7 linked regions of the Ovis aries genome follow. The protein of the gene in region 6 interacts with the protein of the main gene of each other region in a pairwise test. Links are inferred from orthologs where the notes say so. Each region holds a gene or a part of one and is shown on either strand. Other genes may lie near its edges. The genes, in order: NDUFB11, BNIP3, SEC22A, KCNS2, SLC7A1, FATE1 and SLC38A1.

Evidence for each region.
Region 1: the proteins of FATE1 (region 6) and NDUFB11 interact in binary tests that used the Homo sapiens proteins (3 or more experiments, as listed by UniProt). The two-hybrid records come from large-scale screens. The link is inferred for Ovis aries from reciprocal best matches to the Homo sapiens genes FATE1 and NDUFB11.
Region 2: the proteins of FATE1 (region 6) and BNIP3 interact in binary tests that used the Homo sapiens proteins (3 or more experiments, as listed by UniProt). The two-hybrid records come from large-scale screens. The link is inferred for Ovis aries from reciprocal best matches to the Homo sapiens genes FATE1 and BNIP3.
Region 3: the proteins of FATE1 (region 6) and SEC22A interact in binary tests that used the Homo sapiens proteins (3 or more experiments, as listed by UniProt). The two-hybrid records come from large-scale screens. The link is inferred for Ovis aries from reciprocal best matches to the Homo sapiens genes FATE1 and SEC22A.
Region 4: the proteins of FATE1 (region 6) and KCNS2 interact in binary tests that used the Homo sapiens proteins (3 or more experiments, as listed by UniProt). The two-hybrid records come from large-scale screens. The link is inferred for Ovis aries from reciprocal best matches to the Homo sapiens genes FATE1 and KCNS2.
Region 5: the proteins of FATE1 (region 6) and SLC7A1 interact in binary tests that used the Homo sapiens proteins (3 or more experiments, as listed by UniProt). The two-hybrid records come from large-scale screens. The link is inferred for Ovis aries from reciprocal best matches to the Homo sapiens genes FATE1 and SLC7A1.
Region 7: the proteins of FATE1 (region 6) and SLC38A1 interact in binary tests that used the Homo sapiens proteins (3 or more experiments, as listed by UniProt). The two-hybrid records come from large-scale screens. The link is inferred for Ovis aries from reciprocal best matches to the Homo sapiens genes FATE1 and SLC38A1.

Annotation. Positions count from the first base shown.
Region 1 is NC_056080.1:57,659,142-57,663,132, reverse strand, and holds NDUFB11 (NADH dehydrogenase [ubiquinone] 1 beta subcomplex subunit 11, mitochondrial), read right to left. Parts: upstream 2,719-3,991; 5' UTR 2,706-2,718; coding exon 2,499-2,705; intron 1,012-2,498; coding exon 881-1,011; intron 727-880; coding exon 600-726; 3' UTR 501-599; downstream 1-500. Other genes in the region: RBM10 (RNA-binding protein 10), read left to right, coding at 3,471-3,540. UniProt on the Homo sapiens protein: Accessory subunit of the mitochondrial membrane respiratory chain NADH dehydrogenase (Complex I), that is believed not to be involved in catalysis. Complex I functions in the transfer of electrons from NADH to the respiratory chain.
Region 2 is NC_056075.1:50,240,391-50,243,890, reverse strand, and holds part of BNIP3 (BCL2/adenovirus E1B 19 kDa protein-interacting protein 3), read left to right. Parts: intron 1-365; coding exon 366-450; intron 451-1,817; coding exon 1,818-1,927; intron 1,928-1,994; coding exon 1,995-2,147; intron 2,148-3,095; coding exon 3,096-3,141; 3' UTR 3,142-3,500. UniProt on the Homo sapiens protein: Apoptosis-inducing protein that can overcome BCL2 suppression. May play a role in repartitioning calcium between the two major intracellular calcium stores in association with BCL2.
Region 3 is NC_056054.1:188,442,778-188,446,277, reverse strand, and holds part of SEC22A (vesicle-trafficking protein SEC22a), read right to left. Parts: intron 1,604-3,500; coding exon 1,440-1,603; intron 312-1,439; coding exon 117-311; intron 1-116. UniProt on the Homo sapiens protein: May be involved in vesicle transport between the ER and the Golgi complex.
Region 4 is NC_056062.1:78,729,947-78,734,032, reverse strand, and holds the start of KCNS2 (potassium voltage-gated channel subfamily S member 2), read left to right. Parts: upstream 1-1,286; 5' UTR 1,287-2,097; coding exon 2,098-3,531; 3' UTR 3,532-4,086. UniProt on the Homo sapiens protein: Potassium channel regulatory subunit that modulate the delayed rectifier voltage-gated potassium channel activity of KCNB1 and KCNB2 by altering their kinetics, expression levels, and shifting the half-inactivation potential to more polarized values.
Region 5 is NC_056063.1:31,276,558-31,280,057, reverse strand, and holds part of SLC7A1 (high affinity cationic amino acid transporter 1), read right to left. Parts: intron 3,003-3,500; coding exon 2,881-3,002; intron 2,376-2,880; coding exon 2,153-2,375; intron 1,454-2,152; coding exon 1,314-1,453; intron 1-1,313. UniProt on the Homo sapiens protein: High-affinity, low capacity permease involved in the transport of the cationic amino acids (arginine, lysine and ornithine) in non-hepatic tissues.
Region 6 is NC_056080.1:84,015,895-84,019,984, reverse strand, and holds the start of FATE1 (fetal and adult testis-expressed transcript protein), read left to right. Parts: upstream 1-1,290; 5' UTR 1,291-1,349; coding exon 1,350-1,458; intron 1,459-2,404; coding exon 2,405-2,520; intron 2,521-4,090. UniProt on the Homo sapiens protein: Involved in the regulation of endoplasmic reticulum (ER)-mitochondria coupling. Negatively regulates the ER-mitochondria distance and Ca(2+) transfer from ER to mitochondria possibly implicating it in the regulation of apoptosis.
Region 7 is NC_056056.1:140,259,054-140,262,553, forward strand, and holds part of SLC38A1 (sodium-coupled neutral amino acid symporter 1), read left to right. Parts: intron 1-2,916; coding exon 2,917-3,017; intron 3,018-3,500. UniProt on the Homo sapiens protein: Symporter that cotransports short-chain neutral amino acids and sodium ions from the extraccellular to the intracellular side of the cell membrane. The transport is elctrogenic, pH dependent and driven by the Na(+) electrochemical gradient.

The sequences.
Region 1 (3,991 bases), about 26 Mb from region 6:
AGCCCAGCTCTGAGCCACCACCCTCAATCCCTGGTCACCCTGGCCCTTCTTCCAACATAAGCAGTCCCAGTATGGTAGCTTTTTTTCTAAAGATGGCTGCTGTCCATTTCTTCCCATGTGCCACACCTCTATGCAGAGGAGGCCTGAGCCACCGTACAAAAGACCCAGGCTATTCTGCTGGAGAGAGAAGCCACACAGAAGACTCAAGTACCAAACATGGAAATAAAGAGGCCATCTTGGATGTTCAACCCAGTTGAGCCTTCCAGTGATTCCAGCCCCAGCCACTATCTGACTGCAACCACCCAAATCTTCAAGAAGGACTACCTCGTTGAGCCCAGTCAACCATAGGACCATGAAACATAATACTAAATTGTGTTAAGCCACCAAGTTTTAGGGTGTTTGTCACATGGCAACAGATAACCAGAATACCCAGAAAAGGCACCCCTACTCTGACACCCCCACTCCCACATCCTTCTCACAACAGAAGCAACACCAGCCAGTCACACTTTCAGTCCCTTTAATTAGGGGCTCTGAGGAGAGGGCAGAATGGCAGGCAGGGTAGAGAAGGTGGTGCTTCTTATGCCCCTTTTGGCAACCAGTTAGTCCTCATCCTCTGGCAGCTGGATCTTGCTGGGGTCGAAGCAGTTGGATTCCATGAGGGGGAGGCCATGGGCCTCTCGGTATTTCACAAGCCTCTCAGCTTCCCGGCGGGCCCACTCCTGCATCCTGGAGGCAGCAGCATGAGGGAAGATGTGAGGGAGCCTCAGTGGACATCAATCCCCATCTTAGTTCCCCAGGGAATGGACTCCTGGCAGTCTCCTACAGTATCCACCCCTGCCTCTGTCCCCACCCATCCCACTCTCTTGGACACCCCACACACCTGTAGTCAGGCAGATAAGCCACAAAGGTGCTGCCAAGGACCAAGACGATGGAGAATCCGAAGAAGAAGACAACTCGCATGTTCCAGACGTCCACAGCAGGGTCCTTGTCATAACCGTGGGAATCTGGGTTCTATGGCAGAGAGAAGTCAACGAGGGCTTCCTGCTGCTCCACAGAGCCTGATGCTGGTCCTGTATAACTTGGTCTCCAACTTCACCCTGAACCAATCTCTCCTCCCTCCCTAAATTCCTGTCTGTTCTTAGGACTTGTCAAGCTCCTTGCCACTACAGAGCCTTTGCACTTGCTGTTCCTTCTGTCTGGAAAGCCTTTCCCCCAGATTTAGTCGGGGCTGGATCTGTCTCCTTATTCAAGCTGTCGGCTTCATCTTCATTCCCCTTAGGAGGCACTCCCTAGTCACCTTATCTGTTAAGTTGACCTATAGGAAATTGACATTTTTACAGGTCAAAAATGATTGATATTGGCTATTTCCTATTTCTTCAACCTCATAACTTCCTATCCCTATAACTCTCCATCCACTTATCTTATTTAACTTTCTTTCAAGCATTTATTTGTTTACCAAAGTATCATATCCTTCAAATACTCTGATCACATTATATTATTGGTTGCATACCCTATCTTACTGTTTTCTAATATTTTACATGTTTATTTTCTATATTCTCCAGTACCACATAAGCTCTATGAAAGCAAGGGCTTTATCTGATTTCTATATTGCTGAATTTATAGCACATTGAACTTAGCCTGGCATACAGCAGGCCCTCAATGCATAGCTACAGAATGCATGAATGAGTATCCTATATATCCAAGCCCCTCAACAAGGGGTCAGTATGGATGAAGCATCTATTATATGCCAGGCCTTTTCACAAGCACAAATTGCACAATAACCCACTGAGGTGGAAAGTGGCAAAACAAACAAACAAACAAACTTCTAATGGTGAGTATTTGTACTAAGTGCCAGCTGCCGTTTTGAGCATTTTGACTCATTTAAATACCGGAGGCACATATAGTATTTTATTCTTTTAGAAAATGTCCTAATACTTTCCCTATCTTACAAAGAAACTGAAGCATCAAGGGCTTAAGCTACTTGCCCAAGGTCAATGCCTGTATTCCAACTATGGCATTCTGATTTCAGTCCACTATCAGATAGCACAGCAAACCTAGTTCTGCCACACATTCAGTTATGTGAGCTTAGGCAAGTCACTTAACATCTTTATGCTTCAGTTTCCTCATCTGTAGAATGGGTACACCAAAACCACCTACCTCGAAATATGGTTATTATGAGAACTAAATGAGTTAATGTATGTAAAGTGCTTCAAACACCTGAGCAAGCACCACACCAGTGTTTAGTAACATTGTTATTCTATATTGCTTCAAACGTGCTTTGAACATTGCCCACTTCAGGTTTGATGTCTGTCTGCAAAATAAGGCCAATCTCTGACCCTGAACCCGTACAAAGGAGGAAACAAGCTAGGCAGAATTTCCAAATCTTCGAAGATTTCGCCAGCTGCGCAATTCCCAGCCGACTAAGACCGTCCTCTACGGCGCCCTATCCGCCGGTCCCCGATTGACCCTTCCGGCGTCCCGTTTCCCCTCCCTCTCACCTTCTCATAGAGGTTTTCGTCCTCGGGTTCTGGGTCCTCCTGCCAGCGTAAAGTCGGTTCTGACGGCCGCTTTCCCGCCAGAGTGGACGGGGCGATCACAGCCCTGGAGGAGCTAGATTCCCAGCGAACACTGGCAGCCGGGAGCCCTCGCGTCGCCGCTACTGCCAAAAGGCGGCGGCCGCACAAACCCAACATCCCCGCCGCCATAACAGATCGTTCTGCAAGCTCTCGGGGTCGGGGACGGAAGTGTGACTCCGCGCAGCTGCAGTTGTTCTAAGCGCGAGAGTTGTCGCTCCGCCCCCGCCGCACGAAATAGGTCCCGAATCAGGACTTTGCTTTCGAACGGGTGAGAGGTTCTTTTTGCCTCACTCTGTCATGACTTCAGGGAATCAACCACCCTCTTATCCTCTCAGTCAGACTATGGAACTTCTGACCGCTAGGCTCTGGAATTTACTTAACGAAAAGAAAGCAATGACACATGCGTGGATGTTCCCAACCAATCGCGCGGAGAGCTGCCTCGCCCTCCGGCGAAAGGGGCGGAGCTTCCGTTGGTCTTTCATCTTCGAAGGAAGCCAAGCTTCTAAAACGCCAGCCTCGCCGGATTGGCCAATAGCTGCCGCTTTTCTCGACTTGCGGGCGTTCGCAAGGGGTGGCAATATGCTTGCCAATCAGAATAGGCCAGGGATGACCGAGGGCTGACAGCGACCAATAGACGGGGTTGGCCAGAGCGCGCTCCCTTAGTAGGTGGATGGTGGTCGAAGCGCCGGCTCCTTTCTCATCGTCGCCATTTTGTGTTGGTGATCGCGGCCGGCTGGGAGTAGGCGACAGTGGGTTTCCCGGGGAGGGCAGCGCTCCTGGCGCTTTTCCCCTCCCCTCCTCCGCCCTTTTGCCTCCAGCCTCGGACTTGCTAGTTGCGCGGACCGGCTCGGGCAGAGCTGGAAGAGTTGGAGGAGGTGGCGGCGGGCCGAGGTGATGTCCGGGAGCCCTCCCTTGACAGCCCGGGCGCAGAAGGTGAGAGTCGACGCTGGTCGTGGGGGTGGAGGTAAGGGGCCGGGGGTGGAGGGGGTTGCATAGAGGACCCACGAGGGCGGACTGTGGTCGATGGGTCTGGGCTTCGCGCAGAACCGACCGATGCTTTGCACATTGTGAGCCTGGGAGAGGGTGTCTTTTTTTTATTGTTTTTTGTTTTTCTCCTTTTGAGAGCAGAGGCGCGTGCGCGATTGGGGCACTGGATGGGTGCACGCGGCTTGGGGGAAGGGAGGGACGGATGGGAGTGGGCTCCTATGGCTCACTGTGTCTGCGACGCCGAACTTTTTCCGTGGGAGGCCGCTGTCTGCGACTTTTCTTTTTAGCCGAAAAAGTGTGCTCTCTGCTTTCGTGTGTGACTTTGGTACTAACCAACCCATGGGGAAGTGTTCTGTGGCTCTGGTCCTTATTCTTGGGTGGAGGAGAAGGGAGATCGTCGATCTGACTCGGGTCTCTATCCTCGGAAC
Region 2 (3,500 bases), on a different chromosome or scaffold from region 6:
CACGCGTCACGGCGTGGCTCCGCAGGCCTGCCTGGCCTCCGTCAGCGCCCAGACGGCGGGCCCTTTGCTCTCAGGTCGGGGGACACCACCCGTGGGGTCCTGCCCCTGCTTCTGCCTGCTGGGCCTCGAGCTCAGCTGGGAAGGCAGGGGGCCGCTGTGACTGTTGGGCCCTGGTCCCCCCGGGTCTGGCTGCTGCCTGCTGGGTGTCGAGCTCATCTGGGAAGTCAGGGGGCCGCTGTGACTGTTGGGCCCTGGCCCCCCCCCCGGGGCTGGCGGGAGTACTTCCTTCTCCCGGGACGCTGTCCCCTGTGTGTGGGGGTCTGTGTGTCCTGATGGGAAGGTGGACATGTGCTGTTTCCCCCAAGCCCGCCCCGCTCACAGACCCCGCAGGACACTAACAGAGCTTCTGAGACAGACGCGCACAGCCTCGGAGAGAAGAACAGCTCCCAGGTAGGGTGCGCACGGTCTGCCTTTGTGATCTGTCGGAACCGGGTGCTGGGGGACCTGGCCCAAGAGCAGGACTTCTGCTTCCTCAGACCCTGTCTCAGCTGTGGGGGTGGGGCGTCTCCAGCACTTCACAGAGTGGACCGGAGGCAGCCGGGCCATTTGGTTCAGGGTGTGTGCCCAGGGCCCCCTCTGCCCCACACGCCCTCCAGGGGACGAGGGGCGGGAGAGGTGGGGGCCCGTGGGGGTCTGGAGGCCTGCGCAGGGCCTCCCCACTGGGACGGCACTAGTTGCTTCCAGAAACCGTGCCTTGGGCTTCACTGACTCGCGCTTGTGTGGTTCGGGTTAGGAGCTGACCAGACTGGTGGAGGCTGAGCCTCGTTTTCTGACTTTCCTTTAAGAATCTCTGAGTTGCTGGGGCCGTAGCCCCGGCTGGGGGGAAGTCCATGAGAGCAGGGTGGGCTGTGGCCCGAGCTGCCTTGCTGAGACCTGGGCTGGGCCAGTGGCCAGTGCGGCCTCGCCAGGCCGTCTCCCTGCCTGCTGCCTCTTGTGATGCTCGGGGGTGTCGGGATCTAGGAACCTGGGGGCCCCTGCTTTCCTGGGGGCTCAGCTGGTAACGAATCCGCCTGCAGTGTAGGAGACCCCGGTTCCACTCCTGGGTCGGGAAGATCTCCTGGAGAAGGGAAAGGCCCCGCTCCCTTCCTCACTGTGAGAGCTGTGGGGACCGAGCTTCCGGCCGATGCCACTGGTCCCCGTGCTGCCTGCCGGGTGCCCCTCAGGCTCTCCCTCCCCAGGGGCTCAGCAGTCCTTGTGCTCGGGCTTCTCCAGGGTGCTGCCTGCCTGCTCCCAGATGTGCAGGGTCCAGCCCAGCTTTGCTGTGTCCAGGTGTTTGGTTGGTTTTGGTACCGTGTTCTAGAATATTTCCATAATTTCCCCCCCTGAATTTAAAGAGGAATTCTATGATCAGGCACAGAGTTTTTAAAATTCTAAGAAATGCATCTTTTTAAAGCTCTTTAATTAGCGTACTGTTAATAATGTGTATCTTTAAGGTCACTGAGACCAGGGGTGTGTGTGGGCTTCTGGTCCTCTCTTCTGCCAGACGCGGACGTGCACCTGCTCACTGCAGCCGTGTGCCGTCAGCTCAGGCACATTCCTGTTGCGGGCCTTTTCAGGGATTTCTGTTTTTCCTTTTACACCCAGGACCACAGCCGGCGTCTCTGTGGACGTCTGTCCCCACTGGCCGGTGCCCCCCTGGGGCAGTGCCTGCAGCTCAGGGCCGCTGGAGTCCGGCGGGCCCTCCACAGGGGGTGTGGCGGGGGGCGGCGAGCTTCCTGGGGTGGAGGCAGCGGGTTCACCGACCTCGTCTCCCGCAGTCCGAGGAAGACTACATGGAGAGGAGGAAAGAGGTCGAAAGCATCCTGAAGAAAAACTCAGACTGGATTTGGGATTGGTCCAGTCGGCCAGAGAACATCCCCCCAGCCAAGTGAGTCTGCGTCCGCGGGGGCCTCTGGGGCCGGGAGCCGGCGCCCGCTGACCGCCTCTCCCCGCAGGGAGCTCCTGCTCTTGAGGCACCCGAAGCGCGCCCCCACGCTCAGCATGCGCAACACGAGCGTCATGAAGAAGGGCGGCATCTTCTCCGCCGAGTTCCTCAAGGTCTTCCTGCCGTCGCTGCTGCTGTCCCACCTGCTGGCCATCGGGCTGGGGTGAGTGTCGCCCGTGCCGGCCGCGGGCGCAGGCTGGGGAGGCTCGCACGTGGAGGGTGCTGGTCTCCCCGGTCCTGACGCGGGTGGACGGGCTTCTCCTGGGCAGCCTTCTGGGCCCCCGGCTGTCAGGATGGGCTTCTGTTGCGGGCTGGGCCCCCAGGCTCGAGAACGGGGCAGAGCAGATGCCGGGCTCGCTGGCTTGGGGAGGCGGGAGCAGAGCCCCCACCCGTCCCCCTGAGCCCCGGCCCATGGCCTGCCCCCGCTCTGGGCTCTGCCCTGCCTTCCCCTTAGCACAGCGTGTGGACTGTGTGGGCCAGTGCCTCTGAGTCGGGCTGTCAGTCCTGCAGGGAGCTTTGTCCAGAACCAGCATTCAGGTCCTCTAGGGCCTGGCGGGGTCAGGCTTCAGCCTTCACTTTGGGGTGGATTTCTGCAGGTGTGTCTGCTCTCTGAGACTTCACGGGGGTCAGGATCAAGCCCTCCTGTCCCGTTGCTCTGCGGAGACCCCCTACTGGCCTGCAGGCCCTTGATGTCCTCCCCCCCGCCCTCCTCCCGGACAGCCCCCCGACACCCCTCCGTTCTGGGCTCCCTGGGGCGTCCCGTGCAGCAGTGGTTTCTGTGAGATGTGCCGATAAACCTGGGGCTGTCAGCTGTCCTGTGGGCGACTGTCTGATCAGGTCAGAAAGTGAGGAGACAGGGAGCCTCTCAGCTCAGGAGGAGCTGGCCTTCGTGTGTGCCGAGTGTGTGCGCTGCGAAGCTATTAGCACACAACTGGCTTTTTCTGAGTTGGATGCTGAAATGCGTGCTGGTAAGAGTGACGCCCACGCGTCCACTGAGTGCTGGCAGCCAGGCCCCTTCGGTGAATGAGCTGGGCCGGTCAGCTGCTGTCTCAGCAGCGCGCGCCCCTGGGAGGCGCACTGCCATGTGACGACCGCCTCCTTTCTCTGTCAGGATCTACATCGGAAGGCGCCTGACCACGTCCACCAGCACGTTCTGATGCAGGCTGTAGCCCAGTGTCCCCACGCCGCGGGGGCCCGTGCCCCGCACAGCGCACAGAAGCAGCTGTCTCGGTCCTGGGCTGCTGCCCCGCTCGTCGTTTCTTCTGGCAGCGCCGCCTCCCTAACTCAGAGAGACAGACAGTAAACCACGCTCTCCCGCAGCCAGACTTGGGGATCGAGTGACAAGCATGTCATTGATTAATACCTACTGTAATAATTTGGTAGTAACCTTCCTCAGATATTATAAATATCAAAGTATAAATAATTTTAAAATCTCTAGTTATGTTGTATGCAGTATTTTAATGAATTACCTGCGACCTTGATCGCGTTAGACACTATTTTGAGGGAAGGGATGCTG
Region 3 (3,500 bases), on a different chromosome or scaffold from region 6:
GCTTCTACATTCATGTACTTGCTTTAAAATTTTAGAATAAATTAATTCATTTTTTAAGAGCCCCTCAGTTCTTAGAAAATACTTTTTTAATGAAGTAATTGAGATCCAGAACTCACCAGAAGAAATCTTACCAGCACCTTTATAGTCAACAGAAAATGCAGATGTGACTCCATTGGCTGACCCCAGCTCACCCATGGAAATTTGATAAGGGGGCCTCAGCTTGATTTCCATCTGCATGTCAGACAGATTTATCTTTGTTGAAAGAGATCTGGGATTATTATATCGCTGCTTGGTCCTCTGAATGAAGTTATCTATGTAAAATAAAAAATAAATTTCCTTGCAGTCATTTGTTAATTAAATCATTTGAAAGTGTGATGTTTACAGACAGTAAATTTGGTGATAAACAGTTTGTTATCCTAAATGTTCAACCTGTCATGGAATGCCCTAATATTATTTGTGTTTAATATATCATGGCATCATCAGTTTTTCTCACTAGAAATTATACTCTAGAAACTAGTAATTATAACTAAACTAAGGATTTAATATCACATGATTGTGAGAATACTTCTACAATTATATCCACTTCAAGGAATTACTCTGAACCTCTTAAAAAAAAATGAAAACAGCTCCCTTTAAATTTAAACCAAAGCTTTAATTTGTACAGGGATTCAGATCTCATAAAATATTATCTGTAAGTATTACCAGTTGTAATTACATTAAAACATACACTGTAAATTGCATGTTCATATAAACCTGTTTTCTTATTTATTGCTTATACCATTAGAACATATGCTTTAAAGAACAAATTTAATGAAATCAATAAAAGACATTTCCTAAATTTCTCCCAATTTTATTTCCACTATTTGCACCTTGAATTTACCCTTTTTCCCCCTTCTGCATCAGGAGTCAAGCAAACTAATGTCCACAGGCCAAATCTAGCCTGTTGATTCTATTTGTGAACAAAATGTTACTGGAATATAACTATACTCATTCATTTATGCACTGCCTATGGCTGTTTTCAAGCCATAATAGCAAGGACTGAGACTGAGAAAATAATCCTTAAAGCCTAAAATTGTACTATCTGGTCCTTTCCAATAAACGTTTGTCAACTTCTGTTCTATATTAAGCAGCCTAAAAATACTATCACATAAACACAAAGCTCTGAATCTGTAGCTTATAAATTTCTCACTGAGAAATTATCCTCTGGGATTAATTCTTTGAGCCAATAATCACGATCCTCTAGAGAGTTCAAAGAGAACCTTTTCTAATAGGCATCCAAGTGAAGAAGTTGCCATAATTTATAGACTGTCGAACTATTCTGTCAAAAGAAAGTTAGTAGAATTTTTTGAGTTTTCTCTCTGTCCCTTAGTATTAGATGAAAAGTCATTTATGACTGAATAGAGACATGAAAAGGGAGAAAAAAAAAATCAGGCCCTTACCAAATTCAATGAAACAGTACGGTCTGACAGCAGTATTTGTCTTCATCATGTTATAAGTAGTAATGAACTCCTTCTGAAGCTCATCCAGGAAAGAGAAGGCCAGAACATTTGGGTAATTTTCAGTGCACAACATCATGTAGCTCACTCCCATAGAGCTAATAAAACTACAGTGTAGAAAACATCGGATTTAAAATTTCAAATTAAATCAAGGTAATCCATTACTTCACAAGACTGGCTCTATACACCATACACTGCTGCTACAGAGGCATTGATGATATTAACACTTATTAAATATTTTGGCAAAAAATTAAAGGAATTGAAATCAGTTGCAGTTTAAAAACAATAGACAAAAAAGTGAATGTATCCACTTTGCTGTATAGCAGAAACTAACACAACATTGTAAATCAACTACATTCAAACTAAGATTCATTTTTAAACAGTGGAGAGGGACATATACTGTGATTCGAATGTTTCAGTTACTTATCATTTGGGGTAGAAAGCAGGAAAGACTATGCAAATAGATAAGAGTCACAGATAGCTTAACATTTCAATCCTTCAACCTAGAGGAATTCAACACTGAGGTTCTGATGAAAGTTATGGACACTCTTTGCAGAAACAACACAGAATTTGGCTAACAGTCTCAAGGTGATTACTGACCTCCTAAAGTTATCCACTGACTCCAAAATCAAATCCTCTACTTCACAAAATGAATTATGTATCATTGGGGGAAAAAGAGAATTTAGGAGTTCATAACAACAAATAAAAGGGAAGAAAGGAAGACTCATTCATAGCAGAATGCTGAATACCACCTGGTAAATGTGGAGACAGTGGTAGAACTGGGAAACTTAGCACTTTGCAGCCTACACAGTAAAGAATGAATCCATTTATAAACAGTGGGTGCTAAATCTAGGTAGGTACTTTGGTAAGGAGCAGGAAATCGTGCATGGCTTTAAAATGTCTTCTCATGGATTGCTTATTGGCTGCAGGGGAATTCTACTGTATTTATAAAACAGTAGAAACTAGACAACACCTTAACCAGGTACTCTAATATCACTAAAGAGGGACAGATGGCCTTCCCATGCCTCCAGATGTGATCCTTGGTAAGACATATCAGTTCTGGCTGAGAATGCATAATCTGAATCTAATCACGAAGGAACACCAGAGTAATCAACGTTCTATTTTCTTTAAAAGGGTATGGGGTGGGGAGCTGTATTCTTTAGAAATCTCAAAGTTGTAAAAAAAAAAAGAAAGAAAGAAAGGCTTTGGAAACATTTCTGATCACAGGAGGTTAAAGAGACACAACTAAATGCAATACCTAACCCAGTCTGGATCCTGTGTTACAGAAGGGGAAAATTCTATAGAGGATATTCCTTGGTCAACTGACAAAAACAGAAAACAGGCGGTACGGTAGTTTAGGTAAAGGTATAGTATCAATATTAAATATACTAGATCTGATAACCATACTATAATTAAGTATAGGAATATCTCTAACCTTAGAAAATACACTCTGAAGTAGTTAGGAATAAAAGGGTATGGTATTTTTGTTTCTCTCAAATGGTTTAGACAAAAATAAATCAGATAGATAAAACAATAAAGTAAATGGGGTAAAATGTTAACAAAATGTGACTCTGGGTTCAAGTAATATTTGTAATTTTCATACTTGTGCAACTTTTCTGAAAGTTTGAAATCATTTCTAAATAAGTTAAAATTTAAAAACAAAAATGTTTAACCATCTTCTATTGGAAAAAAAATTTCTAAAACAAAGTATACATTGCCCTATAACGTGCATAGGATGGGACAGAAATTGATAGTTTTCAACGAGTCATTAAATGTTCTTGCATAGTACTGTCAACATCGTTCTGGTCTAGCTCAAGGGAAGCAAACAGAGCATACAGGCTATAACCTTGCCACTCCCATGCCAGACACTGCTAATCTGTCACAGCAGTTTTTCCTACCGAACCCTGATCTACATCAGAGTCTCTCTCTCTCCCTTTTTCTCTGCTATTATAGAAGCAGAATTTATTAATATCACTTTAAATTTAACTTTTAAAATATTCACAT
Region 4 (4,086 bases), on a different chromosome or scaffold from region 6:
GGGGAGGGGGGCTCCCCAGGGACTGTGGGTCCATTTCTCAGCTCTAACACAGCGGCAGTGCTTTGAGGAACAACCGTAGGAGACCAAGAGCTCAAATCGGGGCCACTGGTCTCCTGGGGAATGCAGACATGGGTACTGCGCACATCTATGCTGGATCCACACCCGCCAACTCCCGGTGGTGTCCACATACACACGTTTCGCGTTTCATTCGGCACTCGGACCCGGTCACAGCCCCACGGAATACTATGCTGTATACAGCACGCTGTACACACAGCTTACAGTCTGCCATTGTGTGCACACATCACAATGACAAGCCCCGGCTTCCCCTGTTCTGACACACTGTACACATTTCCCCCACTACCCCAGAGGTCCTATTTTTAATTAACGCTGCGCAGACCGTGCAAAGCCCTACTTTCCTCAGTCTATACACACCGACACACACAGTTCCCAGCCATCCTCCGAAGCTGGCACACCACGTCGGCCTGCACACACACAGTGCCCACACAGAGCTCCCAAACAGAACTCCGTGACTCCCTCCCACGCCGGTAGGGCCTGCGCTGCCGGCCCCAGCAAGCTAGGCTGAGCTCGACCTTGGGTTTCTGTGCCCCCCGCTTCTCCCCCCTCTTCTCTCATTCCTTTCCTCACCACCCCGCTTCCCCCGCAGCCTCAGGAAACTTTTCAGCAGGTCCCTGAAAGGGGGAAACCTGGAGTTCCTCACGTCCCGCCCTTCCCCCTCGGACGGATGCAAGTCGCCGGTCATTCCCCAGGTCGGCTCCGCCCGAGAGACTCAAGTAGGGAAAGGTCACCGTAGGCAGCCCCCTGCCTGCGCCCTGGGAGCAAGAGGGTGGTCATAACAGCCTGTCATCAGGGGAGGTAGGTGAGTGATCGGGAAAGGTGTCGGCTCGGCCTCGAGCCGCGGGCGCCAAGGGGTCTCCGCGACGCCGAGGCGGTGGCCTCTCTGGAGTCCGGGCGGCGGCCTCGCGGGGAGCTGGGAGGCGCGGAGCTGTCCGTTCAGCACCACCGCGCCGCGCCCCAGAGCAGGGCCCGCGCAGAGGCGCACGGGCTCGGCTCCCGCTCCGGCTCCCGCGGGCTGCGGCGCGCGTGGTTGTCTCTCCTCGGTGCCGAGGGGCGCGCGGATCTAAAGGGGGGGGGGCTCTGCTAGCGTCGGGGCCACGCAGCCACCTGTGAGCCTCCCGCAACTGCGGACGGCGGCGGCCTCTCCGGCCGGAGACAGGAGGCGCTCGGCGGACCCCGCCCGCCCGCCGGGCGCACACACAGGCGCACACACACTCAGAGCACCCTCGCGCACACGCACAGCCAGCCGGCAGCGGCGGCCGCAGCGATGCTCGCCGGCAGGTCGGGGAAGTTTCCCGCCGGCCTCGGCCGCGGGCCCCAGAGCTCGCAGGTAAGCGCTTCCAGAACGCGCAGGGCGAGCCGGGGTAGCTCCGCCGGGTAAGGCGCGGCGCACGCGGCTCCGGGGCACGGCGCCAGGCGGGCGGGGGAAGCCCGGGGCGGAGGACGAGGGGGGCTTCAGTCTTGGGGGGCTGGACTCCGGCGGCGCCGGGCCGGCCCCCTTACCCTGTCCTGGGGTTAAGGACTCGAGAGGTGGATTTCCCCGCCGCCCCCTCCCGATGCTACGCGCCCCCCCATCTCGGCCCAGCCCTGCCGGTGCGCATCCCAGCTCTGGTCCCGCCTGTCTGCGGCGAGAGGGCGGGGGCGTCTCCTCGGCCCGCCCACGGGCAAGGTCAGCTCGCAGCTCGCGGAGCCGCTGGGGTGCGACCCCGGGCAGCGGAAAGCGACCGACAGAACCCCCAGGATGAGGGTGCGGGCGCGGCCATGCTAGTGGAAGCACAACCCGCCCTCCCCAACTCCAAGCCTTTCTTTGGGAGGCGGGGAGGCAAAGCCCAGAGAACGGTCCTCCCATCCCAGTGTCCTTCAGTACTCAGAGACCCGCTGGAGAGGACCGGGCGCGCTAGAGACGGGTGGGGAGAAGGGAAGGGGTGCCCGAGCCCTGAGCGCCGGGCGCTCACCCGACGCGCTTGCTTTGGCTTCCAGGTGTAGCGCCCCCGCGCGGCGCGGGCGGCCGGCGTCTCCAGCATGACTGGCCAGAGCCTGTGGGACGTGTCGGAGGCCAACGTCGAGGATGGAGAGATCCGCATCAACGTGGGCGGCTTCAAGAAGCGGTTGCGCTCGCACACGCTGCTGCGCTTCCCCGAAACGCGCCTGGGCCGCCTGCTGCTCTGCCACTCGCGCGAGGCCATTCTGGAGCTCTGCGACGACTACGACGATGCCCAGCGCGAGTTCTACTTTGACCGCAACCCCGAGCTCTTCCCCTACGTGCTGCACTTCTACCACACCGGCAAGCTTCACGTCATGGCAGAGCTGTGCGTCTTCTCCTTCAGCCAGGAGATTGAATACTGGGGCATCAACGAGTTCTTCATCGACTCCTGCTGTAGCTACAGCTACCACGGCCGCAAAGTGGAGCCCGAGCAGGAGAAGTGGGACGAGCAGAGCGAGCAGGAGAGCACCACGTCCTCCTTCGACGAGATCCTGGCCTTCTACAACGACGCCTCCAAGTTCGATGGGCAGCCCCTGGGCAACTTTCGCAGACAGCTGTGGCTGGCGCTGGACAACCCCGGCTACTCGGTCCTGAGCAGGGTCTTCAGTGTCCTGTCCATCCTCGTGGTGCTGGGGTCCATCATCACCATGTGTCTCAATAGCCTGCCAGACTTCCAGATCCCTGACAGCCAGGGCAACCCGGGCGAGGACCCCAGGTTCGAAATTGTGGAGCACTTTGGCATTGCCTGGTTCACCTTTGAGCTGGTGGCGAGGTTCGCCGTGGCCCCCGACTTCCTCAAGTTCTTCAAGAACGCCCTAAACCTGATCGACCTCATGTCCATCGTCCCCTTTTACATCACGCTGGTGGTGAACCTGGTCGTGGAGAGCACGCCTACCTTGGCCAACTTGGGCAGGGTGGCCCAGGTCCTAAGGCTGATGCGGATTTTCCGCATCTTAAAGCTGGCCAGACACTCCACTGGCCTCCGCTCCCTGGGGGCCACCCTGAAATATAGCTACAAGGAAGTAGGGCTGCTTCTGCTCTACCTCTCTGTGGGGATTTCCATCTTTTCCGTAGTGGCCTATACCATCGAAAAGGAGGAGAACGAGGGCCTGGCCACCATCCCCGCCTGCTGGTGGTGGGCCACCGTTAGTATGACTACCGTAGGGTACGGGGATGTGGTCCCGGGGACCACAGCAGGGAAGCTGACCGCCTCTGCCTGCATCCTGGCAGGTATCCTGGTGGTGGTACTACCCATCACCTTGATCTTCAATAAATTCTCCCACTTTTATCGGCGCCAGAAGCAACTTGAGAGTGCTATGCGCAGCTGTGACTTCGGAGATGGAATGAAGGAGGTCCCTTCCGTCAATTTAAGGGACTATTATGCCCATAAAGTTAAATCCCTCATGGCGAGCCTGACGAACATGAGCAGGAGCTCGCCAAGTGAACTAAGTTTAAATGATTCCCTACATTAGCTGGGAGGGCTTGACATCCTCAAACCCACATTGCTGAGCTGTCTCTTGTGCCTCTGGCACGGTTCAGGTATCCTAGGGTTATGGCGTGAGGAGTATGCCCAGCCCCAAAGGGGAGAAAATGCATGGGATCTGCACCCCAGGTTGCTTCTACAGTATTTAGGATCATTTTTAGAGGGTGGTGTGTCTGACACCATGCCTTTGCACCTTTCAGTGAAATGACACTCACTGGTCTTCGCATCGTGGGCATAAAATGTTCACCTTTCTGCCGGATGAGTACCACCTAGAATGCTAATTTCTCCGTTCATTGTATTCTCTCATCTAGTGCTCATGGCCCAGGACTGTCTCTGAGTTGTTTGTGCTCCTGTTTCTGAGGCTGTCATGTGCGTTCCGTACAAAAAGCCCCCACAAATACGTCCTGTGGAAACACATCTGTGGGGCCTGCAAGGATAGGATGAGGTTTTGCTCACAGTCGGGTGAAAACAAAATCTCAATTCTTTATCCATTGCTTTCATTTAGTTTTAATATCAAACAAAGAGAATGTGAAGTTAAGCAGAC
Region 5 (3,500 bases), on a different chromosome or scaffold from region 6:
TCTGACCAAATAAAGAAAAAGCAAACCCTTGGTCTGGTGATACAAGAACTTTACAGTGGCTTTAAAGACTGTAGTTTCATCTCCCTTAATCAGCACAGGAAGGAAATTAAGGCCAGTCTTCAGTACGATCACATTACATGTGAATATTGGAGGAAAAAAAGAAAAAACACTCACTATTTCCAGTTCCTTAATCCCTTAAACACATGGGTCACATACTGACACACGGTGTCCCTTAACCTGCCCACAGCGATCATGCTCGAGAATGCAGACTCATACAGCACACGTGTGAAATAAGAAAAACTGGCTTCCTTTCGTTAAACAACATTGACCCATAAAAGTAAGCACATTTTGCTAAGGGTGTGAATGCTGTTAACAATTCACTCATCAAGAGGGTCAAACGCCTCCCCTGTGGCTATCTGACAAGTCCCTGTGATCCAGCTGTGGCTGGCACGTGTCCTCATTCACCACAGAGACCTCCTGCTCCACACATGGGCTGGGAGGGCCCAGCCAGCCTGGCCCCAAGACAAACCAGGAACCGAGAACCACTGCTGTCCTCCCTGGGCGTGCATCCTCACTTCCCCCTTCTGAGCCTCCGCCTCTCCTCTGTGCACCTGCCTCTGGGCGGTGAAACGCGACTCAAAGAGGAAACAAAACCAAGGGTCTCTTTCCAGGGCTGCCCTGCCTTTCAAGGTGCACACAGAGGCCCAAGGGTTCCCCAGCCCGCCGCTCCCTTCTGTCCTCTTGGCGAGGGACCTGATAGCGATCCGTCAGCTCCACCTCCTCTCTCCTGCCATTTGTTGTTCATAGGCTCAGGGCGGAGGGCTACCCCAGACACACCCTCAGTGTCCCCTGGGGAAGAGGTGGCATGTTTTATAAAACGCTGATCGTAAGGGATTCTCGCTTCCTAGAGAATTCACGAGCTAAGACACACGGACGGTGAATTTCCAGCACCGACAAGACAGGGGATATACTGTGAAGGACTTTACCCCACCAAGGTCTACTCAGGGACACCTGGGGAAGGGGCAAGACACAGCTCTGAAGGGACAGTGTACATGCCGAGCTCAGTCCAGTGAGACGGTAATCACTGGAAAATGCGACCTGTTTGAGAATTCCATTACATCCTCTGAGAAACTAGCATTTGCCTTTTGTCAAAAGGCACTCAGTTACCTTGCGACAAACCAGACTCCAAGGGTAAAAACCAAACGTTAGAAAGACCAGTCGCAACTTCTCTCAGACGGGCACAGGCCAAGACATTGCCTTAGGGAGTAATAACTCAGCCGTTAAAATGCTGGATAGGAGATTCCAGTTCTTACCGGCAATGGCACCCGAGGTTAAGGTGGCGATTATCGGTGTTTTGGTCCTGTCATTGATTTTGGCCAAAAATTTAAACAGCAGCCCGTCTTCAGCCATGGCATAGATGACTCGAGGCATGGGAAACATGGAACCTAAAAGACTAGATGGGAGGAAAAGCGAACTGCGTCCGTAAGAGAGCTTGGGAGAATAAAGGCATCGCAACAGGTGTTCACACCCAGGAGAGGGAGCCGGCTCCAACCTGGGAGGCCCGCGGCGCGACACGCCGGGCCCGGGGGAGCGCTTGCAGCAAGTCTGCACGTGTGTGTGAGTGGGAAACGCCTAGCGTAAACCAGCGTGGCATCTAGACACAGTGCTATGGAAGAGATGTTCTGCGTTTATTCCCGCGATTATCTCCAGCTGAATCAAAAAGAAAAACGTCACTGCCTTCATGAAGATCTCCCTGAAGTCCACAGCGGTTTCCTGTGTGTACAGGCTAGCAGGGAGCATGAGAGCAAAGTGACTCTCATTAAAAGGCGTTTGCGGCACTTGCTCCTTTTCAATGGTAGCCTCTGCTTTATGGCCAAAATAAGGGCCAGAGGCAGTGCTCACAGAGGTGGCCTGGTCTGGCCAGTGGCCACAGTCAGGGACAAGAGACGCAGCCCTTGCTGAGCCGACAATGATGAAATGTGGGCCTCAGGCTATTGAGATGAACGTCCCTAACGCAAAGACAGCCCCAGGGATTGATCGAGAGCAGCCCAAGGGGAGAAGTCCCACGATCGGGGCTGGGTTGGGCTCTACTTCAAGGGGAGAGAGGAGTGGTCACGGCACACCCGCCTTCCCGAGCGTCTCTGCCCCTCACCTGGTAGACAGGGCGCAGAGGGAGCCAACGGCCACCGCATACTTGGCTCCCTCCCAGCCCACGTGCTTGAAGGCGTCTGGCAGGGGGCTGTCCTTGTCCAGGCAGAAGTAAGGCATCATGAGGGTGAGGGCGGCCGACACCCCGAAATAGGCGATGAAGCAGATGAGCAGGGACGCGACGATGCCCACGGGGATGGCCTTCTGTGGGTTCTTCACCTCCTCCCCTGCAAGGCGGGAGGAGTTCAGCCGGAGGGCTTGAGACCACCCTGCAGCTCATGGCCCTGCAGGGCCAGGGCCCTTCCAGGCTCCGGGGAACCCAGGGGAGAGGCCCTCAGACCAGACACAATACCCAAGGGCCCAGGGAAGGTGCTCTCAGCCTTTTCGCTGAGAGTCATCGTGGAAAAGAGAACACACTGGAGGCTGGAGCCCGGCCCCCTCGAGTGCCCGGACAAAGTCGGACTAGGTAGCCACACTCCCCCGGAGCGCACATGGGGTCTGCCGCCAGCTGCAGCCACGGTGCCATCACCCCGGGCCCACACGGGACAGGCAGGCAAGTTCCTGTCGGGCAGGCCACTTGGGGAGCAATGAAAGGGGGATTGGCAGGAAGGTGCAAACCCACACTCGGGCACTCAGGAGCAAATGGGCAGCGGCAGGCATGCACACACCCGGGGGAGGGGAATCAGACGCCTGGCCAGGCGAGCCCAGGTGTCCCGAGGGCGGTGGACCTACCTGTGGTGGCGATGCAGTCAAAGCCCACGAAGGCATAGAAGCAGGTGGCTGCCCCCGACAGGACACCGGAGAACCCGAAGGGCATGAACCCACCGACACCGGGTTTCCCTTCCTCTGTGTCACTGAAAGAGAGAGCCTCCGTCAGGGTCACAGGCCCCTGCTTCGTGGGCCTGAAGAGGAGCCACCCTGACGGCCACCCCGAGCAGCTAGGCCCAGTCCTGCAGCGTCCCCCGTCCGGCAGGACAGCGGCCCCGGGGCTGTGGGCAGACGTAACTCCAGGACCCCACTGGTGGCCAAGGGGCCAGGAAACAAACACCTCTCTGGCCAGAGGCCAGCGCGGGTCATCACCGCAGGGATGCAGAGCACGGGGATGGCCAGCGACAGGAAATCCCATCAGCTGGCAGAAACAGTCTCTTCAAAACAGCATGAATGCCCTGTGTCATGCACCAAACTGGGACAACCCTGAGGGGTGGCATGGGGAAGGAGGTGGATCCAGGATGGATGGGAGAAACACACACACCCGTGGCTGATTCATGTCAGTGTATGGCAAAAAAGACTACAGTACTGTAAAGTAATTAGCCTCCAAATAAAATAAATAAAAAAAAAAAAAAAAAAAAACC
Region 6 (4,090 bases):
ATTGTGCTTGGTTTCTTTACAAATAGCCTCCTCTTCCTCAGGAGCTCTGAGGCTATTCCCAAGAGCTGAGGGTTCACCTTCGGTGGCTGTATGAGTCAGAGTTCTCCAGAGAAATGGAACCAATAGGAGGTATGTATGTGTATGTATATGTATTGTTGCACTCACTCACTGAGTCATATCTGACTCTTTGCAACCCCATGGACTGTAGCCCACCAGGCTCCTCTGGCCATGGGATTTCCCAGACAAGAATACTGGAGTGGGTTGCCATTCCATTCTCCAAGGGATCTTCTCAACCCAGGGATCAAATCTGGGTTTCCTGAACTGGCAGGTGGATTTTTTTTTACCACTGACTCACTATGCATATATGTGTGTGTAAAGAAAATTTTATTTAAAGAATTTGGCTCATGCCATCATAGAGCTAGCAAGGCCAAAATTTGCAGGACAAGTCAGCAGGTTGGAATGTTAGGGAGGGGTTGAGGTGTAGTCTTGAGCAGAATTTCTTCTCTGGGAAACCTCAGTCTTTGTTCTTAAGGCCTACAGCTGATTGAATGAGGCCCATTCACAGTATCAAGGATACACAATGTCCTTTACTTAAAGTCCACTGATTATAGACATCAACAGCTACAAAAAGTGCCTTGATAGAAACATCTAGACCAGCACGTGATGGAATAACTGGAGACCTTAGGCTAGCCACATGGACCATAAACATGACCACTGAGGTCTATTCAGTAGGGAAGCTGAGGGAAAATTTGACTTAGAATAGGGGGTGCAGGGCTGGGGACACTGGAGGCTCCAGTAAGCAGGCCCCTCTTCTGCACATCTCTCCTTTGGTTTTCATGGTTCCTGTCCAGGATGATCCAGGGTGTCAAAAGTCATGTCCCTTGCCTGGGAATTCTGGATGGGGTAAGGCAGGATGTGCTCTGTAGAGGATGCTTTCTGAAGGGGGCTATGGCCTGGACTGTTAACCAAAGCTGGCCTTGCAGAAACCACGGTGGGATCTAAACCTGCTTTGGCCACTGACCAACTCTGGAGTCCTGTGCCAGCCCCTCCCTCTATCTAGAAATGAGGTCAAATCGGATGAGCTGAGAGCCAGGGCAGCTTTCCCAGGCAAAGATTCAGAGTCTATCGCTTCTCCTAAGTTGCTTACAGAGTAGCAGAGAAGAAGACCTTGAACCCAGCCAGCAAGATACAGCAGGAACAGGAGGTGCTGGGTCTAATGCTTGAACTCAAAGTGGGAGTCTGGCTCCACCCCTGTGTCCAGATATATCTTCCGCAGAGAGCTGATTTCCCAAGCCTCCTCCGAGCCTTGGACCCTGTGCCTTCTTGGCCATTGCTTACAATTGGTGGTGATGGCAGGAGGAGCAGTCCCTAACCTCAAGGAAAAGATGCAAGTGCCAAAGGATGAAGACCTGCTTCTTGGAAGCTTTAGGGATAACCAAGAGCGCTCAGTGGCAGCAGGTGAGGATCCCCCGTAATGTCCCTTCCCTTGGGTATCTACACCTGTGCATGCATGTTAGAAAATGCGCAGGTTTGGCTTGGCAGAAGCATGAATGTGTGTTTGCATGTATTTGTGGGTACCTGTGTGTGAGGTAATGGGATTGATAAAAGTGAGCCTTTTGTAGCGTGTGACGGGGAAGGTTGGATGAACACCCCTCCCATTGCAAGCCACCAGTGGATCTTAATGCAAAACACTCAGTGGGTTCAATTTATAAGATCATTCAAAGCAATTCTCTCTCCTAACCTTCCAGTACCTTCTTCTGCCCTTTAGAGTAAAGCTCCTTTCCATGATCTACAAGATCCACATAAGGTCACCTCCTCAATATACTTCCTGCTGTGGCATGCTGACTCAGTCCACAGTGCCTTTAAGCCTGTCCTGTAACATCCCAAGACTCTTTCTTCTTCACAGCCTTTTCACTATGTGTTCCCTCTTTCCTCAGATTTTCTATGGCTGGACTCTTTCTCTTTCAGGTCTCTGCCTCAGTGTTGTCTCTGACTTTTCTAGAAGTATCCCCTTCCTTCTGTCTTGTTATCCTGTTTTTATTGTTTTGGGAGCATGCATCTCTTGATTTGCACTGATGGATTATTTCCTATAACCCCCACTCTCGTTACCACTTTCTCTGTACACACACAAACAATCAATTTTTTATTGCTGTGATCTTATTTCTTGGCCATTGCTTGCTCTTTAAGAACCTAGCCCAGAGCTTGACACTCAGTAAACACTTACTATATTTTGAGTACATGAAGAAATTGAGACCTGAGATTAGCCAGTAGATGCCAGAGAATGGGTGTTGAGTGCTTCCTAAGATGTTGGGGGACCCTATCCTATTTTTTGGTGTGTTCTGTGCCCATGAAACCTTGGGATAGCCTCTATGGGTATTCCTTGGGCCTCTGTTCTTCTCCCTAGAAATGAAGGAGCATATATCTCGGTTGCTGGGTGCTTCTCAGCGGCGACAGAAGGTGGATCCAAAGGCTGTTGGCTCTGCTGCGGTTTGGAATATGGCTGCAAACCAGTCCAAGAAGGTGGTACTGTATGGCATTTGGTGGCTAGCTTGAGTTTGGGGGAGTTTGCTACAGTTGTAGCAGCTCTGGTATGGAGATGGTAGGTCAAGCAGGGCAGATGTTGACTTTGGGGGAAGGACAAAGCTCCTGTGTTCTGGGCAGGCAAATGAGGGCAACAAGGTCTGGCAAGAGATCATGGCCATTCTTTGTTAGTTCAACCTTGAGGGTCCAGAATGTCTGAAACACACATTGCTTGTGGAGTACATATCTACTTTCTTTTATTAATAAATTAGTAAATATATCTATATTTGAATCTCTATATGTATATATGTATATATCTATATGTTATGTCTACTCTCTATATATATTTCTATATAGAAATATGCAAAAGTATAAAAATCATTATATATATATATATATATATATATATATATATATATATATATAGTTGCTGTTTAGTCTCTAAGTTATGTCTGACTTTTTGAATCCCCATGGACTGCAGCATGCCAGGCTTCCCTCTCCTCCACTATCTCCCAGAATTTGCTCTAATAAATGTCAATTGAGTCAGTGATGCTATCTAACCATCTAATCCTCTGCTGCCCCCTTCTCCTTTTCCGTTTAATCTTTCCCAACATCAGGGTCTTTTCCAGTGAGTTGGCTCTTTGCATCAGATGGCCAAAGTACTGTAGCTTCAGCAACCATCCTTCCAATGAATATACAGGGTTGTATATATATCTCTAAGCATATATAAATATAGATATACATGTATCTATATCTATCTTAGGGCTGGGACTAGGGTAAGGCAAGTGAAATGCCTATGCTCTCTGGCTACTAGGAAATCCAGTCAATTGAATCTGAGCATTTTGTAGCCAATCCTTTAAGTTACATTCTATATGAGTGAGGGAATGTTCTAGAAAAAATGGTGGCTATACTGTTGCAAAAGATACTGAGAAAAGGCAGTCATTTTGGAGAAGAGAAAGTCCTGACTCTTCTTGGGAATCACATGAATCCCATCATCCTTCTGTAGCCAATTCTTTTAACTACATTCATCTTGGGTGACAGAAAATTTTAGAAACATAGTTGTTAAACCACTGCACGTTTACTGGGAAAGGGCAACACCTTTGGAGAGGAGGGAGACCTGAGTGTTCCAGGCAATCATGTGAGTCTCATGTTTTGTAGCCCATCTGATAAGTAAGCTACTTTTGCTGCAGATGCTGGCAATTTTAGAAACATGGTTGTTTTACTGTTGCAAAGGTTATAGGAGGTAGAGGGAAGGCAAATTGACTGGAGAGGCAGGAAGACCTGATGTTCTAGAAAATCAGCCGAGTTACATTTTGTTCCTCTGTAATGAATTTTTAAAATTATACTAACCATATGAGGGAATGTTGTAGAGAAAATGGTGGCCATGTTGTTGCATTCAGTTCAGTTCAGTTCAGTCGCTCAGTCGTGTCCGACTCTTTGTGACCCCATGAACCACAGCACGCCAGGCCTCCCTGTCCATCACCAACTCCTGAAGGTTACCCAAACTCATGTCCATTGAGTCAGTGATGCCATCCAACCATCCCATCCTCTATTGTCCCCTTCTCCTCCT
Region 7 (3,500 bases), on a different chromosome or scaffold from region 6:
TTTTCTTATTAATTTGGTTTTTCAAATACTGTGTTACTTAAGAGAGTTCAAGTGTTTGTGTTGCTTTATATTACTTGTGATTAGTTTGCAGATGAATAATGGTCATCTTCAGATTCATCTGTGAACCACTGAATACATTGTATATGATTTGCCTTTTGGTTTAGTTGGAAAAGGTTGGTAAATCAGGCATGAAGGAATGAACGTTAAGACCACAAACTGGACAGAAGAATATTGTTGTTCACTTTAAACTGTTGCAGTGATTATGGGTTAGTTTTTGATTGCTCTTCTAAGAGAATGAAAGGACTGCTTATGAATTCCCTCATGGGTTCTCTTCTTGGCCTACTGTTATCAGACTTTCTACATAAAAATATTTATCATGTCATAGTCTCTTTTTTTGAGATAACTGGTTTACAACTTACATAGGTTTCATGTGTACAACCTGATATTTCTACTTCCATACACACTGTGTCCTGCTCACAAAAATATAGTTCCCATCCATCACCATACACTGGATCTCCTTTCCCCATTTTGCCCTCCCTCTACCCCTTCCCTGCTGGTAACCAATGCTCTATTCTCTGTAGCTACATCCTTGTAAATTTATTCCTAGATATTTTATTCTTTTTGCTGCACTTGTAAATGAATTGTTTTCTTAATTTCTCTGTTATCTCACTGTTCGCATATAGAAACATGGCAGATTTTTGTATGACTTTGTACCTTGCAACTTTACTGTACTTGTTTATTATCACTAATAGTTTTTTGGTAGAGTCTTCAGGGTTTTCAGTATATAAAATGATGTCACCTGTAAATAGTGACAGTTTTACTTTATTCTTTCCAACTTGGATGCTTTTTATTTTTTTTTTTCTTCCCTAATTGCTCTGGCTAGGACTTCTGCTATTAGATTGAATAAGAGTGGTAAGAGTGGGCATCCTTGTCCTCTTCCTCATTTTAGAGGGATAACTTCCATTTTTCATCATTTAGAGTGATGTTTGCTGTGGGTTTGTCATTGCTGATATTTTGTTGAGGGTTTTTGCATCTATATTCATCAGAGATATTAGCCAGCAATTTTCCTTCTTTGTGTTGTCTTTGTCTGGTTTTGGTATCACAAAGATGTTGGCCTCATAATATGTTATGAACCATTCCCTCCTCTTCAGATTTCTGGAAGAGTTTGAGAAGGATAGGTATTAAATCTTCGACTGTTTGGTACAATTCACCAGTGAAGCCCTCTGGTCCTGGACTTCTGTTTTTCCGGAGGTTTTTGCTGACTGCTTCAATCTCTATACTAGTGATGGGTCTGTTCATATTTTCTGTCTCTTCATGCCTCAGTCTTGAAAGGTTATATGATTCTAAGCATTTGTCCATTTCTTCTGGGTTGCCCAGTGTGTTGGTGTATAACTTTCATAATACTCGTCCCTTGTATTTCGATGGTGTTTGTTGGTACTTAGTCTCTTCTGTGTCTGATTTTATTTATCGGGGCCTTCTGTCTTTTTTTCTTTGTAAGCCTGGCTAAAGGTTTGTCAATTTTGTCTTTTCAAAAAATCAGTTCTTAGTTTCATTGACCCTTTCTATTGTCTTTTTATTTTTAGTTTCTATTTTATTTATTTCCACTCATTTTTATTTCCTTTCTTATACTGACTTTGGACTTTGTTCTTCTTTTTCTAGTTTCTGTAGGTGTCAGGGTAGATTGTTTGACATTTTTCTTGTTTCTTGAAATAGGCATCATGGCATAGTCTTAAGCTCAGAAAAGATTAACAGTATAGTTATCTGTTTCCATTTTGAAAGAAAGATGATGTTATTCAGGGTTGAATTCACTCATGATAGTTCCTCTTTCATTTTAAATTGATTTATGACTAAGTTTTGAAGTATTTATATCTGCCTATCTTTGCATACATTAGTCCTGCTTTATGATCTTATATTTAAGGTTTCTTAGGCATCTTTTAAACGTCATAGTCCTGCTTTTAGTTTGTAGTTTTCTTATGTGGGTACTTCTCAGTTTGTCTTGTTTTCCATACTTCCTGTTATGACATAGTCAAATGCCGTGCTTCTTGGTGGCCTACTCTTTGAGTACAAGTCTTGGAGATTAATTGTTTAGGCAGCTAAAGAAACTTAGAGGTTCATGCCAACTCCCAAGATCAACTTAACCTAAGAGAGAGAGAGGCTTTCCTTATCCCAGCTGTGAGTTCTTGGGCACCAATTGCTGTGGAGACATACAGGCTTCCCTGAGGCTGTGTGAGTGCGTGCGTGCTTAGTCACTTCAGTCCTGTCTGACTCCTTGCGTCCCCGTGGGCTGCAGTCTGCCAGGCTCCTCTGTCTGTGGGATTTTTCCAGACAAGAATACTGGAGCGGATGGCCATGCCCTCCTCCGGGGGATCTTCCTGACCCCGGGATGGAACCAGTATCTCCTGCACTGCAGGTGAATTCTTTACCCACTGAGCCACCTGGGACACCCTCCCTGAGGCTATTCGGTGGGAAAATCAGACCTTAAATAGCAGCTTTAATGACAAAACTCGCAAAGTCAAATTCTAGCTCAGCGCCTGATCTCTGGAGCCAAGAAAACAGCATTGGAACTTATTCTGCCTTTTTCCTGTGCATCCTGAGTGTGGAGATAGTATCAAACAAATGTTAAAAAAATACACTCTGCCCTTCAGATGAGAACGCAGTATTCTTTCAGAAGAATGGGGAAGAACATTCAAGGGATTGTTTGTTCCACGGCTCTTTCTCTCACAATACCCAATCAGTGTAAAGAAGGTTATTGGAAACTGGCATATTTGGTATAATTACTGGGGGTAATTACAGCAGCTCAAATCAGCCCAAGCCTGATAGAAAGAATGTTAAGTTCCATTCTTCAGGGTTAATATTTGTGCTTACATTCAATAACACGGTTTTTAATTTCTCAAATTTCTTTTTCTTTGTTTTTAGTCGATCACAGAAAAAGATGCAGATGGTTTCAAATATCTCCTTTTTCGCCATGTTTGTTATGTATTTCTTGACTGCCATTTTTGGCTACTTGACATTCTATGGTAAGTACCTTCTGTCGGTACCTAAATATAGGTATTAGTAAGTAAATTATTATAAATCAGTATCAAAATATGTACTGATATTTCAGTGTGATAACCCCCAAAAGCAACAAATCTATCCATTGATTTTACTGATCTTTTCTTCTGCTTAAAGCAAATGGCTATGGTTCCTTTACATATTCATGCTGACTATGCAATAGAATAATTACTGAAACAACATGCCATAATTTTTTCTCCTAATACTGTCCTTAAAAAAAAATGCATTTTATAAGCATGTCACCTTTACTAAGGAAGGTTTAGAACTATATCAGAGAAGGCTTTCCTAATTGCTGTTGTGAACTGGGTCATTTTCCATTAATAGAAAAGAGAGACAGAGACAGATTTTGAAAGTGAGAAAGAGTAGAGTGCTACACTCATGACACTGTGTGTTAATTAAGAATAAAACACCTGATTGTTCAGCAGCAGGTGGAGCTTTGCTTCAATATG